2 linked regions of the Drosophila melanogaster genome follow. The protein of the gene in region 1 purifies or fractionates together with the protein of each later gene. This does not show direct contact. Each region holds a gene or a part of one and is shown on either strand. Other genes may lie near its edges.

Region 1 (3,755 bases):
CTGGCAAATATGTACACGAAATTCGAGCCGACTTCAAGGGAAAACCCGCCACAAATTCTATGGGGCGCCCTCCCCTCCTCCTTAACAATAAACCAATTTCAAAGATACATTCGGTTGGCGACCGCTACCTGAAATCGCAGCGAAATAATTCAATTTGCTCAAATTTCGGGAGTGGGGAAAATTCAGAATGCAAACTCCATTCCTAATCAAATTTTCAACAGGCAAATTGATAAGATTTTCGGAAATATTTACAGTTTTGGTGCCTAAATTGGGTCACTGACAAATAAATTTGGTCAGGTTAGAACACAAAGAAGAGCATTCATTTTCAAAGAAAAGATTTCAGTAGAGCAATCATGAAATTTCACTTGTCAAATACGTTTTACGTATTAAGTACAGTACAAATATTTAACAATAAAAGTAATTATATACTTAAGAAATATGATTGTGACAAGAACTTGAATTTAAGATCCTTGACAGAGGCTACTAAAATTTAAGGCATTAGCATTCAGCGTTGCAAGTAGATCATAAAATTCTCTTAGCAGTAGTATAAATTGCAGTTGACAATCGAAAATCTTGTGATTGCGCTTCTGCTTCTTCCTCCTCGGCCTCTGCCCACCCACTCCATTCGTAAAGGACTCACACATGCAGCGAGGCACGCACACAGGCACACTACCCCAGGCACGCAAGCACATACACCACACACACAAAGACATGTAGGCGACGCCAGTTAGGGCGGTGGCTGTCTGCCCGTCTGCGATTGAGCGATTGAACGACTGAGTGACGGACGGACGGACGAACTGACAAACCGACGCTGCAGAAAGTGCGACGCAGTTTTTCGCAACAAAAGTGTAGGAAAAACAAAAAGACGATCCTCCTCGTATCGATAATCTGAGTAAACCGAGACGCAAAAGGGATCGAAACGTATACAAAGATCAAATGGCCACAGTGGGCACTCGCTATGTGCGTGCACCTTGCACAAGGATGTTTGGCTGAGAAGGTAGAAACATGTTGGCAAGTGTAATCAGGCGTACAATGCAAACAAAGAGGAGACAACGACAATGAACCAGAAGTCAAGGCGAAGCGATGGCACAAAGGACCAGAGCGATGAGCGGGCGAGGCGAAGGAAGGCGAGGCACAAAAAGGAGAGAGCGCTAGATTGAGCCGAAGAGACAAAGAGAGAGAGAGAGAGCGAGACGGATACGGATACAAAGCCACACCGGCATGGTGTTTGCCTCTGCCGCCGTCACTGCCTGCGCTGCTGCTGCGGACGCCGACGTGGTGGCAACGCCGACGCATTGAAGGCGGCACACCCAAAAATTTTGTAAAAAGGCAACTACTCCAAGGTGGCGAAATTCGAATGCTGTATTTTGCGGGGGCGGGGTTAATGACAAAGAAAGTTCTCCTTAAATGCATAAAACTCCATTTAAATATCTCTTTTAGTCTTCGCTTCTCCCATTCTTCACCGTTCACGCACACTAAGCCGCCTTCCATGGCGTCCTTTTTCCTGCCTGTGTGTGTGAGCGTCGGCGGGCGTCTCTTTTACAAACACTTGTGCCTCAAATACAGTTACCATTTTTGAAACCAGTTAGAAACTTTTCGTCAATAACTCTTTGTCTCCTTTTCAATCACAATTCCTTTAAACAAACACGAAATTCAAAGCGGGTATAGAGAATTTCAAAAGTAGCACCACTCACGCACACACACACACGCAAGCCGTCTGCCTGCTTGGCTTTGGTTTCTTTTTCATTTATTTTTTTAAATTAACTCCTTTATGTTCTGATCTTATGACTTAAAGTGGAATTTACCTGGCTCGATTCTCTCGGTTTCGGTTTAAAAACACACGCACTTGCTTCTTTCTTTGCTTTGCGATTCTACACTGGCAGCAGCTCTTTTTGCCTGCTTTCCGTTTCGGTTTCTTTTCTCGTTCTTGTTGCGCGCTCCACAAATAAAAAATGTCCGCTCGGGTCTGGTATTTACGTCGCGTTAGGATGTTTTCGCAGTTAGAACGCGTTAGGGCTTCGGGTCTAGTTATAGTGCTGTCCACAAAGTTGATGTTCCGCCAAATGGTTAACCATACAATTAAGATGACTAAAATGCCTTAACTTAAAATTTTTTTATAAATTATATTTGTTTACATCTGAATCCTATTTATTACTTGTTAATTGCAGTAAACATTTGCAGAAACGTAAAAATTACGACGTAAGAAATCTTCAAGATTATTCTATTAAACGAGAGAAAACTTCTATTAAGCTGACATTTGCAATATTTTTCTATAAATTTTGAAATATTAATATTTCCTTGGCTTAAACTTGGCTAAACTAGTTTTTCATTCTTTAAGTGTAATTACTTGTAATTTGTCTTTGATTTTCCGTTTACTTTTTTAAAAAGCGTTTCTTGTAAGTCTTTTTGCGAAAATCAAGTTAGCATGCCCGTTGCTCACAATTGCGTTCTGTCGGGCGAGGGGAAAAGTCGCAGAAGAAATTTTATACCACAAGAACGGAATTTCCGTGGCCAAATAACAACAATCAGCCAGCAGTCCCGTCGATCAGGAGTTAACCAAAGCAGGAGGAGTCAACCAGGATAACAGCAACACAATTCGACTGCACCCCAGAGCCTCCAGTTCCACTGGGTAGCTGATTTCAGCTGGTGGAGGCGGTGGGTGGTGCTCTTATCGGCCTGCGATTTCTTCCATGCCCGCTGCGATAACAGCCAGGCGGACTTGCCTGTCCAGGTGTGCATTTCAATAGGCACTGTACATGACTGGAGTGGATAATCCTTCAATGCATAATACTCCGTCTTTCAGTGCAACACCATGGGCTGCATCACCAGCAGCAGCAAGTTAAATGAGCTGCGCGGTCATGAGAATGTGTTTCGAGTGCGAGTGGCTCACCTGCAACCCACCCCGGGTACGCCCATCATCCGGAGTGGCTACCTGGAGCTAACGCCCCGGGAACTAATATTCCAGTCGCCTGGCTGTGAGCCCATTGTCTGGGCACTGCAACACCTCCGACGTTATGGGTTGAATAACGATCTCTTCTCCTTCGAAGCAGGACGTAGGTGTATGTCTGGGCCAGGGATCTACACGTTTCGAGTCCACAATGCCGAGCAGCTGTATCCGATGTTTCAGCGCTACATCAACGCGGTGAATACAGATGCCTTTGTGCAGGGCGAACGAGAAAGGGTTAACTCCGCTCATTCGGTGTCCGTAAATATGGGCCGTACTGAGGGCAATAACTATCTAGAGCCGGCTCCCCTAATGAGCCGCCAGTTGGGCAACTTCCACAGTGAGCCCTCGAGCACAAGTGCATCGTATCCGCTGCAGGCCAACGATTCGCAAGTCGATGACTCTCCGCCCAATTTGCAATCACCAGTCCTGATACCCAGTGCCTATTTGGATCAGCCATTGCGGGCTTTGCAGGACTGTTGTCTGGAAGGCACCGCCTCGGATTTGCTTTCCACCCCGCCCTCCGGCAATAGGTTGACATCACGTAGGCGCACGATGGACTTGCCACCTCTGGAATCGGCCCCAGCACCAGCTCCAGTTCTGAGTCCCAACGATGCTGTGCACATGTACGCCAATGTGGAAGCTCTGATCTTTGATCTGAACAATGAGCGCTGCTATGAGAACGTAAATCGCTTGGAGCTCCCTCTGCTGCCGAGGGAACCAATTTCCAATCAAGAGCCGGCCACGCCCACCAGCTTAGCGGGCAGCTGCGGAGTAAACTATATAGTGCTGGATCTTGATCAGCCGCGAA
Region 2 (3,755 bases), about 13 Mb from region 1:
CGAATTTTTGTTAGAGAGCGAGAGAGCGAAGAGCGCTACAGCTAACAACTGTATGTGTGCACACGTATGCTCATGCATTGTAAATTTGACAAAATATGCCCTTCACCTCAGAAGTTCTTAGACTTTAAATCTATATTATTTTTGATCAATTGGCACCATGCGAAAAATTCTTGTTTTGCATTGCCTTAACGTTATTATTGTTTGAAAATAGATTAGAAATAGCCAAATCTATGTACATATTATCACAAAAATAAATTTCAAAAATGGCTTTATATTAGAATATTTGTCATTAGAGTATTCATATTGAGGCGTGTGAAAAATTAATAAGGCAATGATTGTTGAGTGCTTGTGTCCGCACTTCGTGCCGCAAGATATGAACAAAGCAAAGACACTAGAATTATTCTAGTGTCTTTGATATGACTTTTGCAATAAACAGTTATCATATTTTTATGAAATTTATGAAATTACAGTAGTTATAATAATTTCTATTGTACTTCCTTTAATTATTTAGTATATTTATTAAGTCATTTGACTTAATATGATGTAACATTAACATTAAAAGTGTTTAAAAAAAATATTTCGCTTTTAAAAAATTGTCAGATGAAAGACAAATTAGAATTAAACAAAAATATAAATGTGTAAACGGATAAACGAATAATTCTAGTGTCTTTGCTTTGTTCATATCTTGCGGCACGAAGTGCGGACACAAGCACTCAACAATCATTGCCATATTAATTTTTCACACGCCTCAATATGAATACTCTAATGACAAATATTCTTACATAAAGTCATTTTTGAAATTTATTTTTGTGATAATATGTACATAGATTTGGCTATTTCTAATCTATTTTCAAACAATAATAACGTTAAGGCAATGCAAAACAAGAATTTTTCGCATGGTGCCAATTGATCAAAAATAATATAGATTTAACGTCAAAGAACCTCTAGGGTGAAGGGGATATTTTGTCCCATTTACAATGCATGAGCATACGTGTGCACACATACAGTTGTTAGCTGTAGCGCTCTTCGCTCTCTCGCTCTCTAACAAAAATTCGAGAGAGCCTGGAGCCACCTCTAGAGCCACGGCGAAAAAATCGTGTGCCAAAAAATCGTATGGCGTTACGCATCTTGTTATTATAGTGTCTTTGGTAATACCTAACATTTTTTCATTAAGTCAATGAACTCAAAATATGGAAATTAATTTATAAATATTTCCACTGTGTTATAAACCCTGTGTGTTATAAACCTGTGTTATATAAACCCGTGATAAAATTATAACATGTTATACATATAATTCTTTCGATTGATCAGAAATTAAATGTTTGATAAGAAAATGTACTAATTGTATTATATTATGGAATTAAGAATATATTTTTTGGTATATTATTATTATAAGTTTCATTAAATATCGATAGACATCTTGCTGTAGTGGACATGTACTATTATTACGGTTCCATATGGGCTAATTTTAGTTCTTTTAGAAATTCGGTCACACTATTGATGAAGAAGGTCAAAATAAAAACTAGCTCAGTCGAGACAAAAACGTATGTGTCAGTGTAGTAGATTAACGTATAGAAAAACTGCAACACAACTTAAGTGAGATTGCCATTCAATATGTTCGCCAACAAATTGTTGACCTGCTCGGCATTACTAATAATGTTATTTTTACTAAGCAGTACAGGTTAGTGCCAAGCCAATTAAACCCTTTTTAAAACAGCAATGAAATGCGTCGCATTGGAGGCCTTTGTTCAATGTGATAATACATCGCAGTTCTTTTTATATGTATATGTATGTCGTTTGTTCATCGCACATAATTTATTTTTCCGGTGCCGTTCACGTCGCCATATGCGTTAGTGTCTTATCGGCGTAATAAGGTGTAAACGGTTGAATTGCGAGTTTTGCCTTCGTAGATCAAGGGTTTTAAACCTATTTCAGTAATCTGGCTATCCTTTCATAACTCTTCTAGAAAAATGGTGTCGCTTACGTTCGTTAGCCCCGGAGAACATCCATTTTTACCCCTTTCGCTTATTTGTTCTGGCAATTTACAGTTTTGTATGCAGATAAAGTCATCCGCCACCGTATGCATCCATATTTATTTTATGCACTTAAAATATTTATATGCATGGGTGTATAAATCGGCATATCATATTAAATTTGTATCCGCCATATAGCATACTTTAGTTTTTGGTTACTATCTGTCAATTCATATAACAAGATTTTGGGTCATTTGTTCAATACCAATGTTAGACATTTGTGCACATAGTATATACAAAATAATATATGACATAAAAAAAACAATCTGTGATAAAATAACAACAAGAGATAACGCTATAGTCGGTTCTCTGACTATCAGACTATGATAAGCGGATAAGACAACAAAGACTTGGAGCTAGACTGGGCATATGTATGTACCTACATATTTGGGGAGACATATTAAAATAAACAATTTAAAACATTTTTTTTTATAGCATGCGTGATAAAATGTTTCGGCATAGCAACAGAAGGATAAATGATTAAATCAGAAAATATTTTTTATTTTTTAATTTGTAGTGTGTTCCTACTAATCTTATCTTGTTAAATAGTTCTATAACCAGACCGAATTTAAAATTCGATTTCGACCTTATACATTTGGTTTGTATAAATATTTGACAATATGTTACGGTACGGCCATTTTCATAGGATCTCTACAAATCACTGAAAACGGAAATAAATTGTCCATCAAGTCCAAACTCACTAATATAAATAACAAAGGGTAATTTTTTGATAAGAGAACAAAGGAAATACAATTAGAGCTAACCATATGTACATTTGAATCTCTAATAAATAATTTTTTTTTCACGTCAATTTAAAGAAAATTCCGATTTAATAAAGAAAAGCTTTAATATTTTTAAAAATTCTTCTTTTAGTGTTCTCTCAAAAGCTTATTGGCTTGCCGAGAGTCGGTAAAAATGTTAGTGATTTGTTTCTGGAACAAGCAAACCCACTGACCAGCAGCTCCTCAACAATCTCAACGTCTTCGACAACAACTGAGAAACCTATCACAACCAGATCAACTTCTACAATAACTCCGAGATCTACCACACCTTCAACGGAATCACCATCGACCACCGCACCAGTGATAAGCACGACCATTGCCCCGCAACCATATCCGCAACCATCCATTGGGGCTTGGAATACCTCTTGTATTATGCTTCAAATGGCGGCACAACTTAATTTTACCTATGAGGCTAGGGGTAAGAAAATAAATCCATATTTAGATTGCGATCGAATTACGGCATTGGTGAGGTATGGGCTCTATTAGATTTTATAGAAACTCGTCTCACAGTTTTAACATTTTAATGAACTTACTGAAATCGATAAGGCAAATATTTCAGTTTAGATTAAAAAGAGATGTACATATGTAAGGATATATGTATGTATATTATATATATTATATTTACATCACTGTACACATAGAAATGATAATCAAGTTTTCAGACAATAACGAGTGATGCACTAATGATGCACTAAGGGTAACGTAAGGATAAAGACGGAGCGCAAGTTTGTTGACCCATGTTGCCACGTCCACAAACCATTTTTTTTCCCATTTTATTCCCCAATATCTATCGATATCCCAGAAAAATTATAAAAGTTGCGTTCGCATTCACACTAGCTGAGTAACGGTTACCTCTTCGGGTATCTCTTTTGTTTTTAGTTTAAATCGAATGGTGTATCAAGACTTACATAAGTAGTACATCGTATATATAACTTAATAA

The links. The genes of interacting proteins can lie anywhere in the genome.
Region 2: the proteins of Akap200 (region 1) and Lamp1 purify together in Drosophila melanogaster (affinity purification with mass spectrometry, with the first as the bait; one large-scale study listed by BioGRID). This does not show direct contact.

What each region holds. Positions count from the first base shown.
Region 1 is NT_033779.5:8,413,937-8,417,691, reverse strand, and holds the start of Akap200 (A kinase anchor protein 200), read right to left. Parts: upstream 2,003-3,755; 5' UTR 1,806-2,002; intron 1-1,805. Other genes in the region: CG13398 (uncharacterized protein), read left to right, coding at 2,813-3,755. UniProt on the Drosophila melanogaster protein: Scaffolding protein involved in the regulation of PKA signaling and anchoring to the actin cytoskeleton integrating signals propagated by cAMP, diacylglycerol and calcium.
Region 2 is NT_033779.5:21,571,881-21,575,635, forward strand, and holds the start of Lamp1 (Lamp1), read left to right. Parts: upstream 1-1,508; 5' UTR 1,509-1,614; coding exon 1,615-1,681; intron 1,682-2,906; coding exon 2,907-3,233; intron 3,234-3,755.